Oryctolagus cuniculus: one gene and its partners. The main gene of each other region encodes a partner of the protein of the gene in region 4 in a complex. Links are inferred from orthologs where the notes say so. Each region holds a gene or a part of one and is shown on either strand. Other genes may lie near its edges.

The links.
Region 1: IQCD (region 4) and GAS8 share a complex: the UniProt entries of both Homo sapiens proteins name them as parts of the nexin-dynein regulatory complex. The link is inferred for Oryctolagus cuniculus from reciprocal best matches to the Homo sapiens genes DRC10 and DRC4.
Region 2: IQCD (region 4) and TCTE1 share a complex: the UniProt entries of both Homo sapiens proteins name them as parts of the nexin-dynein regulatory complex. The link is inferred for Oryctolagus cuniculus from reciprocal best matches to the Homo sapiens genes DRC10 and DRC5.
Region 3: IQCD (region 4) and DRC1 share a complex: the UniProt entries of both Homo sapiens proteins name them as parts of the nexin-dynein regulatory complex. The link is inferred for Oryctolagus cuniculus from reciprocal best matches to the Homo sapiens genes DRC10 and DRC1.
Region 5: IQCD (region 4) and IQCG share a complex: the UniProt entries of both Homo sapiens proteins name them as parts of the nexin-dynein regulatory complex. The link is inferred for Oryctolagus cuniculus from reciprocal best matches to the Homo sapiens genes DRC10 and DRC9.
Region 6: IQCD (region 4) and FBXL13 share a complex: the UniProt entries of both Homo sapiens proteins name them as parts of the nexin-dynein regulatory complex. The link is inferred for Oryctolagus cuniculus from reciprocal best matches to the Homo sapiens genes DRC10 and FBXL13.
Region 7: IQCD (region 4) and DRC12 share a complex: the UniProt entries of both Homo sapiens proteins name them as parts of the nexin-dynein regulatory complex. The link is inferred for Oryctolagus cuniculus from reciprocal best matches to the Homo sapiens genes DRC10 and DRC12.

Annotation. Positions count from the first base shown.
Region 1 is NC_091449.1:69,565,462-69,569,592, forward strand, and holds the start of GAS8 (dynein regulatory complex subunit 4), read left to right. Parts: upstream 1-1,329; 5' UTR 1,330-1,473; coding exon 1,474-1,590; intron 1,591-4,131. UniProt on the Homo sapiens protein: Component of the nexin-dynein regulatory complex (N-DRC), a key regulator of ciliary/flagellar motility which maintains the alignment and integrity of the distal axoneme and regulates microtubule sliding in motile axonemes.
Region 2 is NC_091436.1:125,847,566-125,851,086, reverse strand, and holds part of TCTE1 (dynein regulatory complex subunit 5), read right to left. Parts: intron 3,205-3,521; exon of another isoform or gene 3,032-3,204; 5' UTR 2,939-3,031; coding exon 2,686-2,938; intron 1,768-2,685; coding exon 1,199-1,767; intron 1-1,198. UniProt on the Homo sapiens protein: Component of the nexin-dynein regulatory complex (N-DRC) a key regulator of ciliary/flagellar motility which maintains the alignment and integrity of the distal axoneme and regulates microtubule sliding in motile axonemes.
Region 3 is NC_091433.1:176,406,632-176,410,152, reverse strand, and holds part of DRC1 (dynein regulatory complex protein 1), read left to right. Parts: intron 1-2,112; coding exon 2,113-2,296; intron 2,297-3,521. UniProt on the Homo sapiens protein: Component of the nexin-dynein regulatory complex (N-DRC) a key regulator of ciliary/flagellar motility which maintains the alignment and integrity of the distal axoneme and regulates microtubule sliding in motile axonemes.
Region 4 is NC_091452.1:10,280,514-10,284,801, forward strand, and holds the start of IQCD (dynein regulatory complex protein 10), read right to left. Parts: upstream 2,802-4,288; 5' UTR 2,580-2,801; intron 1-2,579. UniProt on the Homo sapiens protein: Component of the nexin-dynein regulatory complex (N-DRC), a key regulator of ciliary/flagellar motility which maintains the alignment and integrity of the distal axoneme and regulates microtubule sliding in motile axonemes.
Region 5 is NC_091435.1:82,116,806-82,120,919, reverse strand, and holds the start of IQCG (dynein regulatory complex protein 9), read right to left. Parts: upstream 2,810-4,114; 5' UTR 2,448-2,809; exon of another isoform or gene 2,330-2,447; intron 2,083-2,329; exon of another isoform or gene 1,817-2,082; intron 583-1,816; exon of another isoform or gene 360-582; intron 1-359. Other genes in the region: RPL35A (large ribosomal subunit protein eL33), read left to right, coding at 3,649-3,659, 3,873-4,025. UniProt on the Homo sapiens protein: Component of the nexin-dynein regulatory complex (N-DRC), a key regulator of ciliary/flagellar motility which maintains the alignment and integrity of the distal axoneme and regulates microtubule sliding in motile axonemes.
Region 6 is NC_091434.1:141,235,565-141,239,680, reverse strand, and holds the start of FBXL13 (F-box and leucine-rich repeat protein 13), read right to left. Parts: upstream 2,804-4,116; coding exon 2,729-2,803; intron 1-2,728. Other genes in the region: ARMC10 (armadillo repeat-containing protein 10), read left to right, coding at 2,802-3,360. UniProt on the Homo sapiens protein: Substrate-recognition component of the SCF (SKP1-CUL1-F-box protein)-type E3 ubiquitin ligase complex.
Region 7 is NC_091432.1:111,117,005-111,121,091, forward strand, and holds the end of DRC12 (dynein regulatory complex protein 12), read left to right. Parts: intron 1-24; coding exon 25-144; intron 145-619; coding exon 620-712; intron 713-3,033; coding exon 3,034-3,164; intron 3,165-3,381; coding exon 3,382-3,510; 3' UTR 3,511-3,578; downstream 3,579-4,087. Other genes in the region: NHERF4 (Na(+)/H(+) exchange regulatory cofactor NHE-RF4), read right to left, coding at 4,030-4,087. UniProt on the Homo sapiens protein: Component of the nexin-dynein regulatory complex (N-DRC), a key regulator of ciliary/flagellar motility which maintains the alignment and integrity of the distal axoneme and regulates microtubule sliding in motile axonemes.

The DNA of each region.
Region 1 (4,131 bases), on a different chromosome or scaffold from region 4:
GGAACTCTCTTTCGGCGTCTTTCAGAGGCTCGTGGCCAACGGCCCCTCACGGGCGGGCCCCAGGGGCCGACGCTGGGCGCGAATTTAATCCGGTCGTGCTGGGCCCTCGGGTGCTCACTGGTCCTCGCGCCCCGCACTCCGCGCGGGAGGCAGCCGCACGCACCCTGCCGGAAACGCCCCGGCCCCGGCCCGCGCGCGGTCTCGCGAGGATTCCCGCGAGGATTCCCGGGGCGCGCGCTCGCCCGGCGTTGCCGGGAGACGGCGCAGCCGCGGCGGCGGCTCGTTCGCGTGGAGTTCGCGGCTGGGCCGGTCAGCGGCGCCATGGTGAGGACTGGCGGGAGTCGGGGCCCGGGTCCGCGCCGCGGGGTCTGGGCCCGGCGTCGGCGGTGCCGGCCGCGGGCGTCCCAGCGAAGGCGGCCCCGGGTCTGAGGTGCCGGCCTCGCGTTTGCGGGGGATCCCGGCGCGCCTGTGGGACCCGCGCTGTCCCGCGTCCTGCGCTCGCTGGGGTGTTCCTCGCGCCCGCCCCGCCCGCCCGGCTTGCACGGTGTGCAGACTCGAACGCCTGGGTGGCGGGGCGTCGCCTCGCAGGGGCTGCGGCGCGCGAGGACCTCCGGGCGCTGGGGCGCTGGGGCGCTGGGCGCTCAGAGCGTGCGGGGCCCGTGTCCAGGCGCTCCGGGAGCCGCGGCTGGCCCCGCAGCGGGCCGCGAAGTGGCGCCGAATCTTCCTCCAAAGCCCTGCGGGTGGGGGGTACGCGGACGGCCCGGTACCTTAGGAGTTACGGTGCTAGTTGCTAGTCTTGAAAAGCAACGGGGGAACATCAAAATAAGCTTGCGGGAATGTGGGCGGTTTTCTTTCTCTCGAATCTGCATGTGACATTTGCAGTAAGTCTTGCAAGTGCGTGGCATGGAGGGTGGTTGGGAGTAAGAGAGGCAGGATAGGGTTTGAAAGTTCAGTCCGGCCCGAGCCTGGGCGCCCTGGGCTGGGGAAGAAGCCTTGCTCTCAGCCCGGTCGTGATCACTCGCAGTGGGTGCCGTCTGCCCAGGCTGTCTAGATGCGGGTTCTCGGTGGAGTTTCATATTCGGGAAAAGGAACCCCCAGATGGCCAGGACTGATGGTTTTCCCTACGTCTGCCTGCGGTGGTTACCGGGCATTATGGCCGACCCGGTCACATCAGCGAGGGACTAGGGGTCTTCCTTTATGAGCATATACCAAGGGGTGAGTGGGTGTGCAATGGGTGCCTGCCTTTTGGAAGGAGAGCCCGTTCCTCTCTGGCCTCGCCATGTGTGCCGAAGGGTAATCGTGTGGCTGAGGCGCAGGGCAGATGAACACGCTCCGTGAGTGCTCTTCCGGGCACCCCAAGGCCCTGGACAGAGAGGGGCACGTTCTGCAGCGGGGACTCGAGCCCAGCCGGCCCAGGGGGAAGGCCGATTGGCGGTCACCCTACGTGGTCACCCCACGTAACCGTCAACAAAGATGGAAGCAACCTTCTCTTCTGTAAACAAGGCTCCCAAAAGGAAAGGGAAGAAGGGCAAGGCCAAGGGCACCCCGATCGTCGATGGACTCGCGCCGGAGGACATGAGCAAGGAGCAGGTGAGCTTCCCGAGCCCGTCTGCCGCCCCTGTGCCCACGTGTGCCCACAGCTCTCCAGCGCGTTGCGTGTCTGCTCGCGTGCCGCGCAGCCGCCTGCAGCCGTGTTCTAACAGGGTGGTAGGAATGTGGAAAGACATGGTGTCCTGGTAGGAAAGCTGTTTTCCGGGGTTGGTGTTTGGCCTGGTGGTTAGGACACCGTGTCCCTTATCCGAGGACCTGGGGCTGGTGCCCGCCCTGGGTCCTGACTTCAGATTCCTGCAGTGCAGAGGCTGGGAAGCAGCAGCGATGGGTGCGGTGACTGGGCCCCTGTTTCTGACGTCCAGCTTTGGCCTGGCCCTGTCCGGGCTGATGTGGACGTTGGAGACTGAGCCAGTGGATGGGAGCACTCTCTCTCTCAGATAATTAAAAAATGAAAATATTTTTAAATGCTATTTTTGTAACCCTTTCAGGTAGCTGGTGTTTGTAGAACTGTTCCCATAGCACATACATGCAGCGCATTCTCTTTTATTTTATTTCCTATTAAGCACTATAGCAAAAAGAAAGTCTTTAAGCAGAACGTGACTTACTTCAATCACATTGTCTGAGTCTGATTAATCATTCTTTTTTTAAAAGATTTATTTATTTGAAAGAATTGGGGGGTAGGGAGAGAGAGAGAGAGTGTGTGTGAAGAGAGAGAGATCTTCCATCTGCTCATTCTCTCCCCAAATGGCCACAACCAGGGCTGGACCAGGCCAAAGTCAGGAGCTGGAGCTTCCTCCGGATCTCCCACGTGGGTGCAGGGCCCGAGCACTTGGGCCATCCTCCGCTGCTTTCCCAGGCCATTAGCAGGGAGCTGGATCCTACGATGAGCAGCCAGGACTCAAACCCATGACCACGTGGGCAGAAGCTTCCCCCGCACCACAGCGCTGGTCCCTCGTGCTTGTTTTTACAAACGTTCCAACAAGGAGGAACAGTGTCCGGCTGCCTTCGTTGTGGCCTTCTTATTTGGGGCATGGGGTGATGTCTGTAGTTACTTTGAGACATTTTAAGCTGCTTGTCCATTTTGGTGTAAAGGGCTAGAGAACATCATGATGTCATTAAAATCTCACTTCCGATTGGGACACGTGGCAAACGCGGTGTGTCCTGTGGCATCCGTGTTGGCGGGACGCCCCCCCGTGAGTGTCTCTGGGGCCTGAGGGTGCTGTGTGAACTCAGGTGGCAGGGTTAATAAGCCCGAATATGAAGGAGCTGAAGTGCGAAGGGGTGCTCCAGGGATGTGCGGGAAGACCACGCAGTGCCGGCAGAGGTGTGGTGTGGGCGGGTCCGTTAGGCTGGCGGGGGAGCGTGGGTGCACGGGCGTTGCAGCGACCCTTGTGCTGCTGTCTGCTCCCTGTGGAGGTAGAGCTGCCGCGGCAGCAGGCCTGACACAGGCCTGGTTTACGGCACGTTGTGCAGTCCAGGAGTGAGGACAGGGACTGGCATCACCTGGACACGCGTGCCCCTCTGCTGAGGACATGTGCGCAGTCTATTGGATTCTAGTGCTGTTTTCTAATTTTTCAGGAGAAGCTAGAAATCTGGATATTTATAAGAAATCTAAGTGTTGATTGATGACGAGATCTAACTCTGTGTGAGCCACACAGAGCAGCTAGGTACCCTGGTTTAACTGTTTGTTCTGTGACCTGGTGACACGTGCCATTTTGCTGCAGCATTTGTGAGATTCTGGGGTGGCATCCTCCCTCAGAGGCCTTTGCCCTGCCGAAGTCCTCTGTGCTGCGCCCCCTTTTCTCTTCAAGTAAGACGTAGTGGTTTCCCTCGGGGACAAGGTTTTAGGAGAGAACAAACTTTACAGAAAGTGACCTGTGGCTATACCTGAAAGAGAACTAAGTCTTTATTTTTTTTTTTTTAGAGATTTATTCTATTTATTTGCAAGAGTTACAGAGAGAGAGAAAGAGATATATCAATATGAATATCAATCTTCCATCCACTGGTTCACTCCCCCAAATGGTTGCAATGGTCAGAGCTGAGCCGATCTGAAGCCAGGAGCTTCTTCTGGGTCTCCCACATGGGTGCAGGGGCTCAAGTACTTGGGCCTTCCTCCACTGCTTTCCCAGGCCACAGCAGAGAGCTGGATCCGAAGAGGAGCAGCCAGGACTTGAACCATTGCCCTTATGGGATGCTGGTGCTGCAGGTGGAGAATTAACCTGTGCCACGGCGCCAGCCCTATAACTAAGTCTTAAGTGGAATGAGATGCCAGGAAAGCTGAAGCCTGTCCTACTTTTTTTTTTTTTTTTTTTTTTTTGACCTATTTGTAGTTTTGCAATAGGCTGTGGGCCAAACCCTCTTGTGTTAGGAACCTTCTGGTTCTCTGTGCTTTTACTGACATTGTGCCTTGAAAAGTGAATGTTCTTTCACTTAATGTTATTTTGTGAACATGTTTACATGCTTCTTCTAATTTACTTTTATTTATCTGCTTAGTTTTGCTATTATAATACTGCTGAGGCTAAATATCTTTGAGCCAGAAGCTCTTGTGTTTCTTTTGAGAAGTTTCCTCAGTATGAATTC
Region 2 (3,521 bases), on a different chromosome or scaffold from region 4:
TTGTGTTTCCCATCCATGGAAGGGGAATCCCTCATTTTCCTGATAGCAAACACAGACCCACTGCCACCCTGCTTTCCCTCTCCCCCTGCCTGGGGCCATCTCGGTCCTAGATCCCACCCTTCCTGCCTTCTCAGAACTGTCCCTGATCTCCCTGCTATCACCAATCGCTTTCTTGCAGCTGGATGGAGCCTCGCCTTGGTGGCAAACACAAGCAAGTTAGAGAGAGAGACGAAAGAGAGAGAGAGGTTCCATCTGCTGGTTTACTCCCCAATTGGCCAGGGCTGGGCTGGGCCAAAGCCAAGAGCCAGAGACTTCACCTGGGTCTCTCACATGCATAGAAGGGGCCCAAGTACTTGGGCCATCTTCCACTGCTTTACCAGGGAGCTGGTTTGGAATTGGAGCAGCAGGAACTCAAACCAACACTCATATGGGATGCTGACATCGCAGGTGGCAGCTTAACCCACTGAGGCACAACACCGGCCCAACAGCCAAGTTCTTGAAAAAGCTGATCACAGTCACCACATCCCTTACTCTCCGCTTGCCCCATAAACTGTGGCTCCTGGCACTCCACGCAACGGCCCCCAGTGCAGGGACCTCTATCTTGCCAAATCAAGGAGGAACCATAGTCTGCTGCCTCCCAAGGTACACATGAACAGGAAGCTAGAATCAAGAGCCAGAGCCAGGCATTGAACTCAGGCACCCCATGATGGTGTGTGTGGGCATCCCAAGCAGTATCTTAACCACTAGGTCACGCGCCTGCTCCTGAGATTCAAATTTAACTGGGTGTCTTGCACTTCTATTTGCTAAATCTGGCGATCATATTCTAGCTGCAACTGTACATTTATATCATCGCTGATTAGCGCCATTCATCCCACCAGCTCGTCAGCTCCAGAGGCACAAATGGCATAATTTTGTGGCTTGTTGTGTCTTCAGCACCTAGGACAGGGCCTGGAATGCAGATGGTAGCTCCATGACTAATCTCAGGCTGCTGAGATGGGGGGCAGTGCCTTGTTTAGGTCAGCAGCCCCAGAACTTGCTGGCTCGGTGCAGGATGCATTAAACACACACACACACACACACACACACACACACACACACCTCTGTCAGTGAGGAAGGTGATGGGAGAAAGAAGATGGCAATGGAGGGAATCCCAGAGATGCTGAGAAGGGACTGAAGGGCAGCTGGGGGCCAACGGTACCTTGAGGGTGTGGCACGCCTTGATGGTGGCTGCCAAGGATTGGCAGTCATGGTAGGTGAAGAGGAAGAGGTTCCACTCAAAGTTCATGCCACAGTCCTTGACCCCGTATACCAAGTCCAACTCCTCCAGGTGGCTCAGGCCAGCCACCAGCTCCCCCAGCTGGTAGTGGTCCATGACGGGTTCCTCCGTCTCTCCCTCGCTGCCTGAGTCCGACTGGTCCCCAGTGCGAGGCGGGAGCGGGAGCCGCACAGGCGGCAGGAACTGATCCACCTGGATCCTGCGCACGTAGTTGCGGCAGAGCGGCAGCAGGTCGAGGATCACGGCCGGGTCCGTGGTGCCTGGGATGAAGTGCTTCAGGAGGCTCTCCAGGTACCGCTCGAAGAACATGCGCTTCCAGCTGCCGCCGTGCTTGGCCACGTGGCACACCGGCCAGCGCTGCATGCAACAGCGCTGCCAGTAGCTCTCGTGGTCGATGAGGTTAGCGGTCACAGCGAGTGGCAGGTCAGGGGACAGGTGGCTCAGGACCTTCTGCTGGTGCTCCGGGAGCAGCTGCTTCAGGATCGGGTTATCTTTGGGAACAGAGGGAGGAGATGGGGGCTCACACAGCGCCCTGGGCTGCACCTGTCTGGGGTCACTGAGGAGAGGGAAGGTCCTCCTGTACCCCCCGGGGAGTTCCTGTCTGAGAACTCAGCCAGCTTCTGCTCTCAGGGAGCCCCAGGCTGAAGAGGGGACATGGCCCCTGGCTTTGGGGTGCTCCCTGCCTGATGGTGGACAGATCGGTGTCTGGTTTCAGGGAGCTCCCAGTCTGAGACGCGGGACCAATGGTCAGTTATCAGCTAGTCTGATGGAGGAGACGACCTCAGACCTGGGAGGCTCCCAATCTAATTTGATCTCTTTGTTCAAAATAATTATTTTTGTGAGTACCTACCATGCACAGGACACTATTGCTAGAGCTCTAAGAATGAAAAAAAAAAAAACAAAAAACAAAACGGAGAGTCTCCTTCCAAGTTTTTTCATTCTAGTGAGGAGGGAGGCAGACAACAAACAAGCAAAAAAGAACCCTGCTGTGGGGGCCGGCACTGTGGCTTAGTGGGTAAGGCTGCTGTCTGCAGTGCCAACATCCCACGTGGGCGCTGGTTCGTGTCCTGGCTGCTCCCCTTCCAATCCAGCTCTCTGCTATGGCCTGGGAAAGCAGTGGACGTTGGCCCAAGTGCTTGTGCCCCTGCACCTGCGTGGGAGACCTAGAAAAAACTCCTGGCTCTTGGTGTTGGCTTGGCCCCAGCTAGCTGAGGGCATCAGCATGGAGGGTGCAGTGGGCTCTGGCAGTGGGCATGGCAGGAGGAGCTGTCTTGGCCCTGAGCGGAAGGGAAGTGTGGAGTGGGTCTGAGGATGTCCCTGGTGCCGGCTGCTGAGGCCTCGGCGCCGGGCCGTCCCCACCCACCTGCCCCAGCCCTGGTGGGCTCCTCCCACTGAGCAGGGACACTCACTGTGGAAGTTCCTGACGATGTGCTGGATGCAGAGCTCCGTGAGGAGAGGCACGATGGCCAGTGTCCACTCAGCATCTTCAGCAATGACCCGGCGCATGCGACGGAAATTGGGAGCCTTGGACTTGGCAGGGAGGGTCATGGCTAAGGGCTTTGAGGCCTGGGGCGTGGAGGGTAGAGGTTGGTCGGCGGCGGAGTGCCGCTCCTGGGTGGAGACAGAGGACTGGCTGGAGCCTAGCGTCGTGGGGTCCTGCATGCTGGCGGCTGGCAGGGTAGAGGCAGGAAGCCCCTCGCTGACCTTGTGACAGGAAGCGTCTCAGACCCCTGGGTCCTTGATGCAAGCGGGGACCTGCAGCAAGGGGAAGACAGCAGAGGTGCTACTTTGCAGGATGTCAGTGGGCATTTGCCAAGAGAGGTAGTATGGAGTGGTGCTCAGGGGAGCAGGTCCAAGTGCAAATCCCACCGACTCGCTGTGTGGCCCTGGACGAATTACTGAGCCTCTCTGAATGTCAGATGCTGCCTCTGTGAAGTAAGGGTAATAATTAGCAGGGGTGGAGGAGTGGATGTGAATAAAAAAAGCAGCCAAAGATGCACAGTGTGTTTTCTATATGGACACATGAAACCGTAGCAAGGAGCCGTCAGCTTTTTTCGATAGTAATAAACTGAACAGCAAATCACCATCATTGCTGTGTGCCAGATGCTCTCTTTTTCCTGTTTAGAAATGTCTTTACTTTCATTTTATTTGAAAGGCAGAGAAACACACATACACAGAGAGTGACAGACAGGAAGAGGTCTTTCATCCACTGGTTCACTCCCCCAAATGCCTACAACAGTCAGGG
Region 3 (3,521 bases), on a different chromosome or scaffold from region 4:
GCAAACTTCCCATTTGGGGTTGCTGCGAGGGACGGCAAGGAGTTCGCAGGTTGGAGAGTGGGCATTTTAGGCAGAGAGAACACTTGGGCAGAGTCACGACACCCCATGATGTTCTCGTGAGAGTGAAAACGTGTGGGGGTGATGGTGGAAGAAGAGAGGGGAGGCTGGGAAGGTGGCCGGGCAGTCCTGGCTTTAAGTTGATCAGAGTCAGGTACAAATGTGGCAGCGTGTGCCTCGAAGGTAGAGGGACTGTGGATAGCAGCCTCCCAGCCTTAGCAGTCTGTAGCTGGTGACTGTATTTTTCAAACTTCCCGCTGCCTGTCTGGACTGCACCAGGAGCTGAATTAGCTGATCCCTAGCAGGCGTCGAATTTTTTTTTTTTTAAAGGAAGAGTTACAGAAAGGCCGAGGCCAAGAGAGAGAGAGAGAGAGAGAGAGAGAGAGAGAGAGAGGTCTTCCATCTACTGGCTCACTCCCCAGATGGCTGCAATGGCCAGAGCTGTGCTGATCCGAAGCCAGGAGGCAAATGCTTCTTCTGGGTCTCCCACGTGAGTGCAGGAGCCCAAGGACTTGGGCCATCTTCTACTGCTTTCCCAGGCCACAGCAGAGAGCTGGATCGGAAGTGGAGCAGCCAGGACGTGAACTGGCGCCCATGTGGGATGCTGGTACTGGTGGCAGCTTTGCTCATTATGCCATAGTGCCAACCCCAACATTTTTTTAAAAGATTTTTTTTCATTTATTTGAGAGGCAGAGTTACAGAGAGAGACAGAGACAGAGACAGAGTAGTATTCCTTCTGCTGGTTCAGTCCCTAAATGGCCACAACGGGCAGAGCTGGGCCGATCTGAAGCCAGGAAACCCGATGGAGCTTCTTCCGAGTCTCTCACGTGGGTGCAGGGGCCCAAGCACTTGGGCCATCTTCTGTTGCTTTCCCAGGCCATTAGGGAGCTGGATCGGAAGTGGAGCAGCCGGGACTTGAACTGGTGCCCATATGGGATGCCAGCATCGCAGGTGGAGCTTAGCCCACTGTGCCACAGCGCTGGCCCCAAGGGCCAATGTGTGAAAGGCCCTGAATGTCCTGCTTAGGAATCAGGCTTCATCCCACAGACGCTGAGGGAAGATGGAAGCAAGGGTTGCAAGCAAGTTCAGTGTGTGTTAGAGACACCCTGGGGCTGGCTTTGTGGCACAGCAGGTCAAGTTGTCACCTGCAGTGCTGGCGTCCCTTAGCAGCGCTGGTTCGAGTCCCAGCTGCTCCACTTCTACTGCCGCTCCCTGCAGCAGCAGGAACGCAGCAGCAGATGGCCCGGATGCTTGGGCCCCTGCCACCCACGTGGGAAACCTGGATGGAGTTCCAGGCTCCTGGCTTTGGCCTGGCCCAGCCCTGGCCACTGTGGCCACTTAGGGAGTGAACCAGTGAATAGAAGATCTCTCTCTGTCACTCTGTCTTTCAGATAAAAGGAAGAAGAAAAGTGATCTGACAGCTCTTTTCTCATTTCTTAAAAGAAAAATGTTCGTTAGATTCTAATGTTCAGGATGTCTGCTAGCTTAGAAGGCAGAGTAGGGGATGGAAGGGGACGGGGTTGGGGGAGAGCCCCACGGGATGTTTGTGACTCCTGGGCTCTTGTCTGTGGTGGTCCTGCAGGAGAGAGTCTGGCATGTCCTGGACGGGGGGTCCCCGGGCAGGGGGCTCCCGTCTCAGCTCCAGCGCCTGCCTTCAGTCGTGTTCCAGCCTTGGTGGATTCATTGCATGCCCCCATTTTACAGATGAGGAGAGTGAGGCTGGAGGAGGTTAAGCAACTTGTGTGTGATTGACAGTCAGCAGCCAGGTCAGGACTGGGGCACGGCCTACCTGACTCCAGGCCCATCAGGAGAACGCGACTGGTTGACTTTTTCTAATTTTTAAAATGCATGTAAGGGGAGCAGAGCTCATGTGTGACTGACGCCTGTCCATGCGTGTGTGGTGTGTGTGTAAGTATGTGGAGTGTCACTCTGCTTCCTTGCTTTAAGTTGCTGAAACCGAAGGAAGATTCCCCCGCGGGTGGTTCGGTGTGGGCCGCTGCCCTCGGCCTGCCCTGTGCTGTGAACTCCAGAGGAGCTGGCTGGTTTGTCTTGCAGGATCGAGAAGCTGGAGAACGAAGTGAAGACCAGCCAGGACAAATTTGATGAAATCACGTCCAAGTGGGAGGAGGGCAAGCAGAAGAGAATTCCCCAGGACCTGTGGGAGGTGCTCAACACTCAGCAGCTGCACTGTGCCGGGCTGATCGAGGACAAGAACAAGCTGATCAGCGAGCTGCAGCAGGCGAGAGGCGCCCCACCCCGTCCTGGCCGAGCGGGGTCTGCCTGGGGCGTCTCGCCGGCTTGCTCCCCCCCCACCCCGATGGAACCAGCAACACTGCACACAACTCAAGTTCAAGTCCTTAGTTGTTTCTCCTTGTCGAGTGTGCCGTGTGCACTGCAGTGATCCTGCAGCCCTGGGACTCCGTAGTCCCCTCTGTCCCCCTGCTTCTGTGAGCTGGGCTTCAGTCGTAGCTTCGCAGGACGCGTTTGTCCTTTGTGGAGTGGCGTGATGTCTTTGAGGTCCCCCTGGGCTGCAGCCCGTGGCAGGGTCAGCTTCTTGCTTAGGCTGTGGAATATTCCATCCTGTGTGTGTGCTGCATTTTCTTTATCTGCTCATCTGTGAGGGGCATTCTGGGTTGCTCTCACCTTGTCTGTTGTGAGTGGTGGTGCCCTGAACATGGGAATACCCGTTTCACGTTGAGGTCCCGCTCTGGGTTCCTTTGGGATTGCTGGATCATTGCTAATTCTACTGTTAATTTGTCTGGGAAACTCCATAGCGCTGTCTGTGGTAGCACACAGCGCACTAACTGCGGGCGTCCTGGCCAGCACTTGCTGTAGGCTGCTGTCCTCATGGTGGCCACGTTGGTGGGTGTGAGCTGGTGTCTCACAGCGCCTCTAATGTGCATTTCCCTAATCAGTGGAGATGTTCTGCAGCTTATGTGCTTACTGGCCATGTATATCTCTTCCTTGGAGAAATGTCTGTTTAAATTCTTCAGCCATTTTTGGGTGGGTTATTTCTTGCTGTTGTGGAATTACATCTTCTGGGTACCAACCTCCCACCAGGTGTGAGTTCACTCTTTCCCTCTGTTGCCTTGGTACCATCTTTGCTGTCTGGATACACAGAAGTGTCTGAGTTTGGTGCGGTTCCATTTCTCCATTGATTTTGTTGCCTGTGTTTTTGGTATCATAGCCAAGAAATCATTGTCACATCCCATGTCCTGAGGCTGGCGCCGTGGCTCACTTGGCTAATCCTCCGCCTGTGGCGCCGGCACCCCGGGTTCTAGTCCCGGTTGGGGCACCGGGTACTAGTCCTGGTTGCTCCTCTTCCAGGCCTGCTCTCTGCTGTGGCCCAGGAAGGCAGTGGAGGATGGCCCAAGTACTTGGGCCCTGCACCTGTATGGGAGACTGGGAGGAAGCACCCGGCTCCTGGCGGCCATTAGGGGCGTGAACCAACGGAAGGAAGACCT
Region 4 (4,288 bases):
GCAGGCCCCCTAATTAGACCGACTTAGGACATTTAGCCATCATAGTTCCCCTCACTGCTCGGAGAGGGAAGTGACAGGTCCCAGAGGGGTTTGAAGCAATGACATGGGCAGCTTTGTAGCTTGAGAGAGAGTGTGTGTGGCGGGGGAGGGGAGCATGGCAGGTGCTTGTCACGGTGTAGCTTGTCACGGTCGTCCATGGAGATGCGGGTGGCCTCATCGGGGACAAGGCAGTGGCCAGACAGAGATGCACAGGGTAGGTAAAGTCCGTGGGATGAGGGAGAGGACAGAGTTCAGGCGGAGGCCTACTTTGGTGGTGTGGGTGCCAGTGAGATGGTGTGGAGGGGGGAACAGGAGTAGGGGCTGAGCGAGGAGAAGCCGCCTGTCTCAAAGTCTGCCGCTCACAGCCCCTGAGCTGTGGCCACTCTGGCTTCGACTGACCGCCCTGGCTCCAGGACCTCCACATTTGATGTTCCTTTGACCAGAGACCGATCCCCAGGCCCAGACTGGGAACTTCTCACTCCTTAGGTCTCGGCTCAATGGCAGCTCCTCCGCAGCCGAGGACAGAGAGCACACGCCAAGCCCTGCAAACCCTCTGCCCGTTCCTTGCATCATATTTATGGCACACACCTGTTGAGGTCTAATCTACCCACTGCAAGGGGACAGTGCAGACTTACAGTTATGCCACATCCCTACGAATCAGCTTTAGAACATTCCCCTCACTCCCCCAATTCCCATGAACTAATTTGCAATGTCTGGTGCCACCCACACTTCATTTATCTGGCTATTCTATATAAGTGAAGTCATATGGTATGGAATCTTTTGTGGCTTTTTGCTTAGCACAATGGTTTTGAACCAGGAGTGATTTTATGTTCCAGGGGGTATCTGGAAATAATCCAGAGTACGTTTGCTTTCCACACCTTGGAGAGGGTACTGCTGGTATCCAGGGGGTAGGGGCCAGAGACACTGCTAAGCATCCTACAGTTTGCAAGACAGTGCCTCAAAAGAGACAATTATCTGTCCCAAATGTCAGTAGGGCTGAGATTGAGAAATCCTGAAGAGCACACAGTTTTTGAGGTTCACCCGCACTGTAGCCCGTTTTCCGTATTTGATCGCTTAAGAGCATCGCATGGGACATCCACAATTTGTCTTTCCATTTCCTGCTAATGTGATTGGGAGAGCAGCGGAAGACGCCTCGAGTGCTTGGGCCTCTGCCGCCCACCTGGGAGACCCAGATGGGGTTCCAGGCTCCTGGCTTCAGCCTGGCCCTGCTCCAGCTGATGAGGCCATTTGGAAAGTGAACCAGCCGACGGAAGACCTTTTTCCTCTGTCTCTTCCCCTCTCTCTGTTACTCTGCCCTTCAAATAAATAAAAACAAATCTTGATAAAATTGTGATAAAATAAACATAAATGTTATCTTTTTTTCCATTGTATTTGAAAAGAGAGAGAGAGAGAGAGAGAGGGAGAGAGAGATTCCTTCCATCTCCTAGTTCGCTCCCCATGCCCACACTGAACACAGCTGGGTCAGGCTGAAGCCAGGAGCCCAGAACTGCACCCAGGTCTCCCAGGTGGGTGTCAGGAACCAAACACCGGCACCGTCACCTGCTGCCTCCTGAGATGTGCACTAGCAGGGAGCAGGCGTCCTGACAAGGGACGCAGGCGACTCCGGGGGCTTCTCCCCCACTGCTCCAAACCCTGCCCTTTATTTTAGTAACCTTGAAGGCCGTTACACCCCCACTCACACGCTTCCATCCCCAGAACCGTCTTCACCGCCCAGACTGTAACTCTGCCCGTGCCGCACCACCCCCCTCTCCTGCCTCCACCCCACCTTCTGGAAGTCCCCTGGGGTGTAATTTCACACTTGCCAGTGGATTATTTCTCCCGTGACTGTCTCCCATCCTAGGCCACACGCTCCCAGCGGGCAGGAGTGCCGGTCATTCTGCTTATCCCTCTGACCGCAGTACCACGGCAGGCACTTGGTTAACACTTGTTGAATTCATAAATACTTAAGGTGGGAAACAGAACACCCTGGGAGCCATGTTAAGAGGGAAAAGTCAAGGCTGGATGTATTTTAGAAAAAAATAATAATAATACTCGCTGAGCACCTGCTGTGCTGCCCAGCCCGGCGCCAGCCCCGTCACTGAGCGCTTACTCCGCTTGACACACAGCTAACCTCTGCGGCTCCACACTTGCCCGAGTGCACAGCCAGCCCCCGCTCTAGGACGGAGATGCGAGTCAGACTCCGGAGCGAGTGCGGACCCAGACGACCCCAAAGGCCCCGGGCTGCTGGGCGGAGCCGCGCTCACCCCCAGCGCCGGGTCTGACCGGGGGAAGCCAGCTAAGACGGGGAGCCGACGGGGTCCCCCGTTTCGGGTGGGAGTGGGGCCGCGAAGCGGGCAGAGCCCACAGGGGGCTGCCCTGTGGCCCCCGCGGCGGTGGAAAGCGAGGTCCAGCCCGAGGCCCGGAGCCGGGACGGCGAGGCGACGGGGCTACTTATTCCTCAGGGAGCTGAGGGGCGCGGACTAGCCCCTAACCCACTTTCCTCGGCGTCCCAGACCTCAGGGCGGACCCCGGTTACTCACCGGTTCCGAGGGGTTCCACCTTTCTCTGCAGTTACAGCGGCGGTGCCCGCGTTGCTAGGTTACCTGTCAGTCTCAGGGGGCGGGCCTCGGAGTCTGACTGACTTTGCTTTTTACCATTCAATTTCTTGTTTTGGTCCGTGAGCCCCACCTCTTGAGGTCTGACCAATCAGAAGCAACGCCTCGCTGCTGTTCCGCCAATTGAAAGACCTGGGACTTTCTCTGGGTTGGGCTGAGTGAATAAAGCGGGGCGGGTGGGAAAGGGCGGAGCTTCTTAGTCCCGCCCCTTTTTAAGGAGGCGGGCAGGCAGTCTTGCTTGGGCAGCAAACGAGAACTGAGGAAGGACGTGACGCCTGGCCAATCAGAACTCAGCATGGCAGCCCAGGTAGCCAGTAGGCCGCAGCGGAGGAGGAATGGGGCGGGGCCGGCGGGGTTGAAGGGACGGTAGGCGGTGGAAGGGAGAGCTGGCGCAGCTGCCGTGGTGGCAGCGGCTGAAGTGGCGGCAGCTGCGGCCCCTGCAACAGCTCCGGGCTCGGCGCTTTGGTGGCGGCGCCGGCGGGCTGGGCTGCACGGTGCGGACCCCGGTGCGCGGTCCGGGTTGCTGGGGCGGCGCGTGTAAGAATCCCAGGGATGCAAGGGCTTGGCCGAGGGAGAGGGCAGGGGTCGAGGGTCAGAGGGCGCGGAGTTAGGGGTTGCGTCTGGGCACCCGCGTGTGGGAGGCGGGCAGGGCGAGCCCCGAAGGAGCACGGGGAAGTCCCGGCCGTGCTGTTCTCTCTCCAGTCCGCGCTGAAGCTTTGCACCCCTTTTCCTCGCCCCTGGCTTCCTGGGACGACCCCAGCGTGGGCGCCCCGACCCGGGCAGGGAGCACGTGCAACTGGAGCCGCACTCCCTCCTCCTGCTTTCTCCCTGGCCCGCTCCTTTGCCTGGCGCCCTGGGGTGACCCTGCGGAGACCGGTGCCCGGTCGGGTTGTCCCAGCGAACAGCGGGACGGCAGCTGGCCTCGAGGCCCCAGGACCTGTCTCTAGGGGTGACCTTCTGGGCTGTCCGTGGACCAGAGCCCACTGGGGGAGCCCAGGCTGGGTCTCAGGACTCGGGTCCCAGCGCTGCTGTGCACTGTGTGACCTTGGGCAAACCCCTTTCCCTCTCTGGGCCCCATTTCCCTCTCTGTAAAATGATGGGTTCGAGTTTAAGTTGGGGGACGGTGCGGCGAGTAGGTTACAGGGAGGAGAGGACTTGGGACTGAGCTGGAGTTTACTTGTAAGAGGCAAGTTAAGCCGGCTAAGCCCCCGTCACCTGTGCGGGGTGGGGGGGCTGTGCAGAGACAGGGTCCCCCACAGCAGCACCGTGGACACTTTGAGCCGGGTGGTTCTTAATTGTTGGGAGAGGGGTCTCACCTGTGAGTTGCAGGCGGTGTAGTGGTCTCCCTGGCCTCTGCCCACGGACAAGCCCCCACCCCTGGTGAGCAAAGTCAATCCTGTTGAGAGCCCCTGAGCCGGGAGGGACATCCGTGCAAGCAGGCTGTCGTGGGTTACACAGTTAAACCTAAAATACCAGTAGGACAATAATGAGGAAATTTAGGGAGCTGTGCGCGCTGGCCTGACGGGGTTAAGAGCCTCTTGCTTTCAGAATGAATAGGAGAGATGTGGTCAAAGCCGAGGGATGGATGCAGGGAAGTGCGTTTGTGAATTCTGTTCCGGAGGATGCTTGAAGAT
Region 5 (4,114 bases), on a different chromosome or scaffold from region 4:
TGACTCCAGCATCCTGCATTCAAAAGGCAGGACTTGAGTCCCAGCTGCTCTGCTTCCGATAAAGCTTCTTGCTCGTGTGCCTGGGCAACCAGCAGATGATGGCCCAGATACTTGGGTAACTACTACCCACACAGGAGATTCAGATGGAGTTCCTAGTTCGTGGCTTCAGCCTGGCCCAGCCCTGACTATTGTGTTCATTTGGGGAGTGAACAAGCAGATAGAAGAACTCTCTGTTTCTCCTTCTCTGTCACTCTGCCTTTTGAATAAGTAAATACATAAATAACAAAATCTCACTAATTTTTTAAAAAGTACCCCGGGCAGTAGATTTTGCCTAGTGGTTAAGATTCCAGTTAAGATACCTGTGTCCCATATCTGAGCATCTGGGCTCAATACTGGGCTCTGGCACCTGACTCCAGCTTTATTATATAGATCCGGGGAAGCAGCAGTGCTGATCCTATTAAATGAATTCCTGCCACCCACGTGGGAGACATGGAGTGAGTTCCTGGCTCACAGTTTCAGGTGGACCAGCCCAAGTCACTGCAGGCATCTGGGGGAGTGAATCAACAGATGGGAGTTCTGTCTCTGAAATAAATAAATGAACAAAAATTACGTCTTTGCTGGCATTGTGGCACAGAGGACCAAGCCACTGGCTTGTGACACCAGCATCCCAACTACAAGTGCCAGTTTGAGTCCCAGCTACTCTGCTTCCAATCTAGCTTCCTGCTAATGCACCTGGGAAATGGTCCCAGTACTTGGGCTCCACATGGGAGACCTGATGGGATTGCTGGCTCCTGGCTTTACCCTGGCCAGACCTAGGGAAGTGAACCAGCATTAGGAATACCTGTGTGTCTCTGTGTGTGTGTGTGTGTGTGTGTGTGTCTGCCTTTCACATAAATAAATACACCTTTTTAAAAAGTAGTATTATGATCACAATCTATTAATGCTCATCACCCATGGTTTGAAAAACACCTTAGATGACATTTCCTCCGAGTGATACCTGCTCTGACTCATCAGGCTGCACTAGGAGCCCTCTGTTCACGCACTCACAGCACTCTATTTTCAAGCACAGCTCGCCACACAATTTTTAATGCTTATGTAAATTTCCCCCACTAGGCCGTTAAGTTCCATCAGACCAGGAAACATGACAATGATGCTGACAGATTCTACATTTCAGCCCCTGTGCTCAATAAGGATTTGTGAAATGAATGAAACTTGCACTTCATGTATGCTTCTCCCCTGGGAAGACTTTCATTTAGAACCTTAAGGAATTAATCTCTTGGGGCCGGCACTGTGGCGCAGTGGGTTAATGCCCTGGTCTGAAGCACTGGCATCCCATATGGGCACTGGTTCAAGACCTGGCTGCTCCACTTTGATCCAGCTCTCTGCTACGGCCTGGGAAAGCAGTAGAAGATGGCCCAAGTGCTTGGGCCCCTGCACCCACATGGGAGACCCAGAAGAAGCTCTTGGCTCCTGGCCTCTGACTGGCGCAGCTCCAGCCGTTGCGGCCAATTGGGGAGTGAACCAGCGGATGGAAGACCTCTCTCTCTCTCTCTCTCCTCTCTCTGTGTAACTCTTTCAAATAAATAAATAAATCTTTTTTTTTTAAAGAAATTAATCTCTTAAGAGCGGGATTTCTAGTACATTTCTGTGGCAGAGAAAAAGGGATGGGGCAGGTGGCTACAAGGGACATAAGCCCTATCCTGCTGTACCTAAGAGAGGATCTGACTTAAATGTGACTTACTAATCAGCCAATCTTGCCAGTGTTACATTTAAAATGCCTTAGGAACTCCAGGACTCAACAGCCCTGTCTACACACCATCATCTCTCATTAGGATCATTACAGCAGCCTCCCGGGCGCCCTTGTGTTCCTTGTCAACACAGTTGAATCCTGGTAAAAAAAAAAGTATCAGCTAGAGTCACTCTCCATCTTCAGAAACCTCAGATGGGAGGGCAAAAAGCCTTCCTATGGTGGCCTGTTGAATTTTTCTCCATGGAAGTATTACCCTCGAATGGCTCATATGCAGACGCATGGTCTCGCCCAGAGATTTCTGGTTGGTTGGTTTGCTGCAGTACCCTCCAAACCTACAATAAATGTTGGTAAGCGGTAGTCATTCAGTAAACTACTGGCTAAATAATCAAAGAATCCGCAGGGCAACTCAGATAAATGTGCAAAAGTTAGGCAGCTTAAATCTCTGCTGTCCACTAATCCATCCACTGTAGTTTCTACCCAGGATTTACCACGCGTGGGCGCGGCGCTGGCCACCCTGAGCTTCTAGCGGGAAGCTCAAACATTCTCCTATAAAGGCCCAGGCAGAGCAGGCCTCCTTACCCCCTCAGTCAAAACGAAGGCTGCAATTAGAAGTAAGGACTTAGCCATTTCTCAAGAGATAAAGGAGTAGAGGGGGAGAGAAGTAAAAACATAGGTGAAGAGAAGGGAGAGCTCCTGCCTTCGCGATCCCGGCCTTTTTCTTCCAGACTCGGGTAGGACGCGAGTCTCCGTTCGCCCTACTCCCGTGTCATAGATGGGAAAGGAACCCCGGCATTAGGCACCTGAGGCAGAGCAACGTCTTCGCCTTTCCACCTACGGAATCCGCGTACCCGAGAACCAAGCGGACCTGTTTCTATGGCGACACGAGTTTGGGGACCTTCCCCCCCTTCCTTTAGCTGGCTGTCTTCTTGCCCGCCGCTGTTCCCAAATGATACATACTGCAGCTTAGAAAGATAGAAAGACCTAGAAAAGGAATTTGTAAAAGTTCTCTTGAATGTAGTTCACTTCAGTCCCAAGATGATTTCTGCTGCTTGTTTTTCTGGCGATCGCGGAAGATGCCTAAATTTGGGGCGGGGCGGGGAGGTATTTATCCCACAAGGCCACGCGGCGGGGCCTCGTCTTCCTCTTTCCGCCATCTTGGAGCCTGTGGAGGTGAGTGGAGCGTTTGCTGCTGAACTTTGGAGGCAAATAACCGGGTTGGGTTCACCTATATACCTTGACGAGGGTCTGGTGCGGCTCTGAGGCCCTGCCAGCCAGTGATTGCTATGGTTTCCAGGAAGAGGGAGGACGGGATGGAAGAGATGGGGGGCTGATGGTGCAGGTCCCCTCGCGCCCGGAGACCTGGTGCCCCGGTAATGGGACTTGGTTCCTGGGCTCAAGCGATGTGAAATAGATGCACTCTGTCGGTCTGAAGTTGGCGCGTGAGCGGCTTAACGTTGGGCCTTTTCAATTTGCTTCTACTCCAAACATGTTTTTGCCTGTAATCTCCGCAGCTCTTCTGTCCTAAGCCGATTCATAGAAGTTTTTTCCCTGCGCTTAACTGCATTCTTTCCTGAGTTTTCGTTTCTTTTTTGGGGGTTTCCTCTTGAAGTTTATAGGAATTGGCTCTTTCCGTGTGTTGCCCTGGCTTATCTGTCTTTGGAGTTTGATTAGGTAACAGCCATTCTGAAGTTTGCAAGTCTTGACGGACTGCTTTTCGTATAGACCTTATAGCATAATTAAGGTTCCCCCCCATGCCAGGTGGAGTGCCGATCAAAAAGGACACAGCAGGCTTAAGAAACGGACGACAAGGTGGGAAATTGGCATGGCACGGCTTTAAACTGAGTCTTTTTTTTTTTTTTTTTAAGGCCTGCAGGGAGCAGGACTTCTAGAAGGCAGCTATGTCTGGAAGGTACGTGTTTCTAATGTTCTCGCTTTGTAGTTTCTGTGTTAGACATGGGCTTAAAAGAGCACGAAATGCTGGAAGAGAAAATCAGATGCTATAGATACTCATAGTGAAATCGGACATGACCGAAGTAGGCGGGAGTCATTGGGGTCAAATCATATTGGTGGTTTGTAGATGCTTTAACAGCTTTCATACACTGTTCTGTATCTTGTGTCTTAGACTGTGGTGCAAGGCCATTTTTGCTGGCTATAAGCGAGGTCTCCGGAACCAAAGGGAACACACGGCACTGCTTAAAATTGAAGGTGTTTATGCTCGGGATGAAACTGAATTCTACTTGGGCAAGAGGTGTGCTTATGTGTACAAAGCAAAGAAGTAAGTTTATAATGCTGTTGACATTTTTCATTTTTCTACCAAAAGAATAAATAAGATGTTGGTAAAGTGCTGTTGTGGCCCCTATTTTG
Region 6 (4,116 bases), on a different chromosome or scaffold from region 4:
TGCCAGCACCTGATGGCTATTAGAAGTGAGTCAGTGAATAGCCAATTCTACATGAGGTCTCTGGTGCCCACAAGTCTCAGCCAAGAAGGTACCTGGGCCTTGCCCATAACTGAACTGAGAAGTCCAGTTGTTAGTCACTTCAGACGGCTCAGGGTCACTTAGAAATCCTGTAAACTCTCGCTCTCTCCAACTCTGCCTTTCAAATAAATAAATAAATAAATAAATCTTTAAGAAAAAAAAAAAAAGGCCGGTGCCGCAGCTCAATAGGCTAATCCTCCGCCTGTGGCGCTGGCACCCGGGGTTCTAGTCCCGGTTGCTCCTCTTCCAGTCCAGCTCTCTGCTGTGGCCCAGGAAGGCAGTGAAGGATGGCCCAGGTCCTTGGGCCCTGCACCTGCATGGGAGAGCAGGAGAAGCACCTGGCTCCTGGCTTCGGATCAGTGTGGTGTGCACCCACGTGGACCTGGTTAGAGTCCCTGCTGCTCCACTTCCAATCCAGCTCTCTGTTAATACACCTGGGAAAGGAAGTCCCTGGGCCCCTGCACCCAAGTGGGAGACCTGGAAGAAGCTCCTGGTTCCTAGCTTTGGATAGGTCCAGCTCTAGCCATTGCAGCATTTGGGGAGTAAACCAGTAGACAGAAGATCTCGCTCTTGCTCTCGCTCTCTCTCTGTAATTCTGTTTTTCAAATAAATAAATAAATCTTTCACATACAAAAAAAATAAATAAAAAGGAAAGAAAACCCTGTTACCATCCTGTTCAGCCTCCACTTGGATGCTGTACTCAAACTGGGCTTCCTTGATGGCTGAAACTATCATTGCAGTTTTCATTGTTGCCATAAATCAAATTAGCCTTCCCGGCTAATTTTTCCCCGTCTGTCTCTGCTGCCAGAAAATCGACCCACATCTGGGTTCAAGTGACCCTGATTGGTTCTTTGCCTTCTTTCTTCTCTAGTTGTGGCCCACTCCGCCTTCTGAGTGTGCACCTTTTCTGCCTCCCCCAGATAAGCAATGATACAGGTAATCATAGCAATAGGCTATCCAATGGGTGGCTAGAATCACCACCAGGAGGCCAGACAGGGCAAAGGGAACAGTCTGCAGCCCAAGTCCATCCCTGCAATAAAAACTTCTTTATCTGGCCCTTACGTCCCAGTATTCCACATTCCCAACTTTTGCAACACCTGCTGTAGTTCAGCGTACATCTGCCACCTGCTGATGGCCCCAGGCATTAAGCCATACCATGTGGGCTCCCACCAGAATCCAGTCTACAAGGGCGGGTGTCCTGCCATATGACGGGTGCATCCACCCTTACATCCCATAGTTGGAGCAGCCAAGCTGCAATGGATTCAGAGGCCTTCTGCCTAACTGTAGACTCCAGATCCAGTATTTCCACCTGAGTATACAGGCAGAATACTGAAGGCTCCACCACCTGGGGGGTGGGGGTGGGAGGGCTGCAGCTGTCCCTGTGGAACCTTCCATTGCTGAGTCTTAATTTTTTGGGTGACAACTAGGCAGGCCTTGAACAGCATCAGAGACTCAGCATCATATTCGTCATCCAGGACATGACCACCACCACCACCACCACCACCGGTTTATCTCCAGAGTCAGGTGTGGCTTGGAGGACAGCAACCTCGATTTCCAGGGCCAGAATGCCATCTTCCCTCACCTTTCGATTTGCCTGTCTCCTCATTCTCCAAGGAATGCCCTATAACCTAGCAGTGGTTTCCACCAGAAAGACCCACCGTATGGCCCCTGCCACTGCCCAGGCATCCTTCTCTAAGGTCTCCCCAAGCCCATGCAATGTCTTTTCTTTTTTTATTTTTTCAATTTTATTATTATTTTTTTTTTTGACAGAGTTAGGAGACAGAGAGAAAGGTCTTCCTTTTTCCGTTGGTTCACCTCCTAAATGGCCACCACAGCCGGCGCACTGCGCGGATCGGAAGCCAGAAGCCAGATGCTCCCTCTTGGTCTCCCATGCGGGTGCAGGGCCCAAGCACTTGGGCCATCCTCCACTGCCTTCCCGGGCCATAGCAGAGAGCTGGCCTGGAAGAGGAGCAACCGGGACAGAATCCGGCGCCCCGACCGGGACTAGAACCCCCGGTGCCGGCGCCGCAGGCGGAGGATTAGCCTAGTGAGCCGCGGCGCCGGCCATGCAATGCCTTTTCTATACTAACGGGCGCACCATCCACTTTGGCCCACTCCTGGGGCAGGGGGGTCGCCCAGGCAGACAAGGCCACTGCCACCCCTGAATCCCGTCCTCTGGCGGGGAAGAACGCTCCACAGGGGCCTGAGACGAATCCCGCAGACTACCCCAAGTGTTAACTCAGGAGCTCGGCTGCAGATTCGGACAGACCAAAGAAAAACAGCGCAGCCGACTGCAGACACACCTCTTTATTACGTTGGCACAGACGGGGGCATGTTGCACATCTATGATTGTATTTTTAAAATGACCAGCTATGGCTAAAAAAAAATAAATGACCGGGCTTGGCAGCAGTGACGACAGCGAGGGTGCCGTGTTTCTGAGAGCTGTCACCCCCTCTCGCCTTTCAGCCATCATCACCGCCCCCCTCTCTTGGATACATACCTCTGCCCAGACCTCGGACTAGCTCAAATAACTCACCACCTACTCCCAACGGCGCGCCTCCCTCCCCGCCCACCGTTGACCCCTCCGGTCCCCCCTGCCTCCTCCCCTCCCCACAAAGGATGCGTGTCCGCCGCCACGTGGCTCCAGTACCTCGCAAACCTGAGGAATGTAATTCTCCTTGAAGTAGTTCCTCACCGTGGGGCTGGCGGTGCGGAGGGAGGCCATGGTCGCGGGCCTGACCCGGGAGCTGCGGCCCGCGGACTCACAGCGCCCGGCGCGGGAGGCGCCGCGCCACGGACAGGGGCGGAGCGCGTCCCGGCGTTGCCCTGGAAACCGGAGAGGCGCGGGGGGCAGGGCCGGGGCGGCGGTCTCGCGTGCCGGCGGGAACCGAACCCCGCCTCGGGGCGGCGGGCAGGGCTCCCCTGAAGGCGCGAGGCCCGTGCAGCACCAGCCAGAGTCTGGTGCCCAGCCCGCCGGGAGGCAGCCTCGGGGGACCCGGAGTGGGTGGTTTTACGGTGTTAGCGGGGCGGCTTCCGGGAGGCGGAGCTCGGGCCGCTGTTTCCTCCCTCAGCTCAGCTGCGCTCCGGTGGCGTCAGGCCCCGCGCACGCTGCAGGCCTCCACCAGCCTTGTCCCAGCGGCGGCATGATCGGTGTCCGGCACGCGAGCTGGGTGGCGGCGGGCCTGGTCCTGGGGGCCGGCGCCTGCTACGGCATTTACTTGCTGACGCGGGGCCGGCGGCGCGGTGGCCGCGGGCTGGGGCCGCGCCGCTCGGGATCAGCTGGTGAGGCCACGGGGTGCGGGGGTCCATGCAGCGCCCCTGAGGCGGGGAGGGAGACAAACCGAGGAGTCGGCCGGGAGGAGGGGACGGGCTGGCGCGGTGGGGAAGCCGGGGGCGAGGGGGGCGGCTGTGCCTGGCCTTGGTGGGTGTGCAGGCCTGAGCTACCTCCCTGGTCTCCACGCCTTTGTTCTCAGCCCCGGGATGGAAAATTGGCCACCCGTGGAGAGTTTGGTGCTGCCCGGGCCTCACTTGAAAGCTTGCGCCGGGGCCGTGGCGGTCTGGAGGGATTCCCCTGGCCCCTGCGGGGGCCCAGAGCCACGTGCAGCACCCCCGGGAGAAGGCACCCGCCGTGGCGCCTATGAGGGGAGAGGGGCCTGGAAGTCGCGGTGGTCCAGCCCCTCACAGCTTGGTGCGTGCGTGTGGATGCGTGTGTGTTGTCTGCTCTCGAGGCATGCACCCTCCCGGCGGACAAGACTGGGATGAGGTTGCTGTCGGGAATCCTAGGTTTGCTAAATGTTCTGGAGAGAAAGTTCAGGCCCTGGAAACTGTTAGGGAAGTGGTTAAAAATAAAATGTGGGCGGGGGTTTCTTGGGACACCCGCCTCCCAGGCAGGCATACCTGGTTCCTCTATGCACTACTCTGCTTCTAATCCAGCTTCCTGCTCAGCGTGCCCTGGGAGGCAGCAGGTGATGGCTCAAATACCTGGGTCCCTACCACTCACCTGGGAGACCCGGATGAAGTTCCTGGCTCTTGGCTGTT
Region 7 (4,087 bases), on a different chromosome or scaffold from region 4:
GCAGGGCTCCGGGACCGCTCGCAGCTCTACAGGGGGAAGGGGCCCGTCGAGCCAAGGCTTCTGAAGAAAGGCTGAAGCAGAGGTTGCAAGAGTTGGAGGCTGAACTGGAAGAGGCCCGCAGCGAGGGGAAGGCCGTATATGCAGGTGCGTGGTCGGTTCAGCAGCTGGGCAGGACACAAGGGCCTGGGAGAAGATAAGAGGGGCTTCTGACTGCCGGGCCCGGTCTCAGCCTTCCCTGCGTAGCACAAAGCAGGCAACTCCTGGTGGATGCAAGGAGGCCTCTGGGCTCGCAGGCAGGGACCTTCCAGGGTGCCTGGGGCCAGTGTCAGTGCCAGCTGCACTGGGGGACACAGGACGCAGTCCCAGCCACTGTTTCATTCACTCAGCAGCAGTGAGCGGGCAGATGGGCTGGGGCCCTGATCCTAAGCCGGAGTGGGGAGGCGGCCTGGTGTCCTTCCCTTTCCCCAGGTGTCCAGGGTCTCCCAGCATCCCAGGATCACAGGAACTGAGCAGTTCCTTGGGCTCCTGTCTCCTGGACCACACAGTTCCTTCCCGCCCCCAACTCCTTGCCTTTCTCCATCCCTCCTCCATCCCTGGCCGTCCACCGTCCTCCCTCCAGAGATGAGTCGCCGGTGCAGGGCCCTGCAGGAGCAGATGGAGAGACGCAGCAAGCAGCTGGAGGAGGAAGTGAGGGGTCTCCGCAAGCAGCTGGGTAGGTGCCCCGCCCTGCCCTGGGCCTTTCCTCTCCAAGGGAGGCTGACAAGATCCAGGTTCAGTGCGGGGGCAAACTTAGGTCTTCTCCTAGAAGGCTGCCATCGTCTTCCCCTCCCCCAACCTTGGCTCCCGCAGTGAGGATCAGGCAGAGGTGAGGACAGCATGCAGCTCACTAGGCTAATCCTCCGCCTGGGGCGCTGGCACCCCGGGTTCTAGTCCCGGTTGCACCTTTTCCAGTCCAGCTCCCTGCTGCGGCCCAGGAAGGCAGTGGAAGATGGCCCAGGTCCTTGGGCCATGCACCCACATGGGAGACCAGGAGGAAGTACCCTGCTCCTGGCTTCGGATCCGCGCAGCGCACAGGCCGTAGCAGCCTTTTCGGGGGTGAACCAACGGGAGGAAGACCTTTCTCTCTGTCTCTCTCTCTCTGTCACTGTCTAACTCTGCCTGTCAAAAAATAACAATAAAAATAAAAATAAAAATAAAAAAAGACCCTTTAGGGCAAAGTAAGGAAGAGGCACACCTCGCCCTATCCCCCCTTGCCTGGAATCTCCAGACCCAGCTGTCACCTCACTCCCTGCCACTGCCACGTCTCTCCAGGGCATATCAGAGCACATCAAAATACTCATGGAAAAATGGAATTACAGGATAAGCTTAGGTGCAAGAAACATTGAAAATCTATGCATTTTTTAAAAGATTTATTTATTTATTTGAAAGGCAGAGTTACAGAGAGAGAAAGAGAAACAGAGACACAGAGATCTTCCATCTGCTGGTTCACTCCCCAAATGGCTGCAATGGCCTGTGCTGGGCCAGGCCAAAACCAGGAGCCTAGAATTTCATCTGGTCTCCCACATGGGTGGCAGGGGCCCAAGTACACGGGCCATCTTCCAAAACCTTCCCAGACACATTAGCAGGAAGTTGGACCAAAGGTGGAAGAACCAGGACTTGAGCCAATGCTCCCATGTGGGATGTGGGTATTACAAGTGGTGCCTTAATCCACAGCACCATAATGCTGGCCATTATTTCCAGTCATATTTCCTTCTAACTTTCTGAAATATTCTTCATCTCCCTTCTCAGGTTAGCTAATTTTTACAATGAAACTAAGGGAAAATGTTAGGCTTCTTAACTTCTATATCTCTAAGGCCTACCACCTGGTAGATCCTTTTTCCTAAATAAGTGGATAAACTCTCTATATAAGCAAAAATATAAAAGCCAGGAAGCCTTTGCTTCTCTTCCCTCTTGCTTCTTGGCCCAGTCCTGGCTGTTGCAGCCATTGGGGAAGTGAACCAGAGGATGGAAGACCTCTTTCTCTTTCTCTTTCTCTTTCTCTCTTTCTCTTTCTCTTTCTCTCTTTCTCTTTCTCTCTTCTCTTCTCTTCTCTTCTCTTCTCTTCTCTTCTCTTCTCTTCTCTTCTCTCTCTTCTCTTCCTTCTCTCTCTCTCTCAATATAAAAAATTATTTATTTGAAAGACAGAAAGGAGAGTTCTTCCATCCACTGGTTCACTTCCCAAATGGCTACAACAGCCAGGACTGGGACTGGCTGAAGCCAGGAGCCAGGAACTCCATCCAAGTTTTCCAAGGGCCCAAGCACCTGGGCCATCTTCTTCTGCCTTCCCAGGTGCGTTAGCGGGGAGCTGGATCAGAAGTGGGACAGCTGGGACTCAAACTGGCACCCTGGTGTGGGACGCCAGTGTCACAGTGGTGGCTTAACCCACCACACCACAACTCTGGCCCCTCATTTGCCCTTTAAGATGAAGAAACTGGGGTAGGTGTTTGGTGTAGCAATTAAGATGCTGACTGGGTGGCCCACATGTCATTTTGAAGCTCCAAGGTTTGAGTCACAGCTCCACTCCTGCTACTGTGCACCCCAGGAGGCAGCAGCTGATGGCTCAAGTAGTTGGATTCCTGCCACTCACGTCAGACACATGGATTAAGTTCCTGACTTCAGTTGCAAGCATTTGGGGAGTGAACCAGCAGAGAGGAGCCATGGTGTGTGTGTGTGTGTGTGTGTGTGTGTGTGTGTGTGTGTGTGTGCAAGTGCCCACAGATGCCTCTCAAATAAAGAAGAAACTGGGGTTTAGGGAGACATGCGTGAGCTTACACGAACAGTGACAACCAGACTTAGCCCCCAGCTCCTCTCCAAGCTCACTACTCATAAACCTCAATGGACCTTCAGCTCTTTGCAGGGACTATGAGGAGGTCGCTGACCTGGGCGGAGTCTGAAATGAACACACTCAGAGCCTCCTTTTCAGGTGCCTTTGGAGACTGTGCAAGCACCAAATTCACCGTCCTGTCCTCTCCCATCCTCTGCTCTGCTCCCCAGAGACTTGCCAGAGGGAGGCTGTGGCTGCACAGGGGGAGGCAGCGAGGGCCCTCGGAGAGCGGGACCACACCTTGGCTCAGCTTCGGGCCCACGTGGCCAGCATGGAAGCCAAGTACGAGGACATCTTACACGTGAGCACCCCGCCACCTCCACGAGCCCCACAGGGTGATGACTGACAACCCGGGGGGAAGAGAAGAAAGGGACTCCAAGGGACCCCTGCTCTGTCCCTAGCACAGGCAGAGGGAGTTCCACGGTGCCCACTCCCTTAGACCAGGAAGAATGCTGGCAGGGAGAGCTCACAAGGCAGCCGCCCTCTCTTCCTGGGGACTGGGAGCTTGGTATCCGCAGGGCAGCCTGGACCGGCTCCTGGCCAAGCTGAGGGCCACCCAGCCCCAGTGGGACGAGGCCGCACTGCGACTCCACGCCAGACACAAGGAGCAGCTGCGCCAGCTTGGACTCAACCCCCTGGATCTTTGAAGCTGCCAGCCTCTGGGCTCTGGGACCCTCTGAGACCCCAGAAATAAAATATCCTGAAGGAGAACTCAGCTGAACCGTGGGCTGTGGCCTTTTGTCATAAAGGAGTGGCTTCCGTGGGGACACCTCTGTTCTGAGCATCCCGTCCCTTGATCCACAAGGCTGAGTGATGAGAGAGAAAACCGGCAAAGTCCCACCCCTTCTCCTACAGAAACTGGAGCCCAGCCCCCGAGCCTGGGACCTCCAGCTCCCTTTAAACCACTGCCCCATATCTCCACCAACAAAAACACAGGCAGTCCGATTTATGGGGAAAGGCCATTTAAATAACAGACACACAGCGTCCAGGGGCCAGCCCCCCCAGCCCGAAGGTGCCCACTCAGGGAGGGGGTTGCTGGGTCTCCCAATTCTTGGACCCAGAGAGTCCCAGAGTGGCACCTAGGTCAAGTCCCAGAGGGCTTCCAGCCCAGCCAGCCCCACAGCACCCCCTTCTCAGGCAGAACTTAGTCCTCGGGGTGCAGCCATCTACAGCCACCGAGGGACATCCCCCGGCACCTGAGGCCCCCGAGGCCTCTGCCCCAGC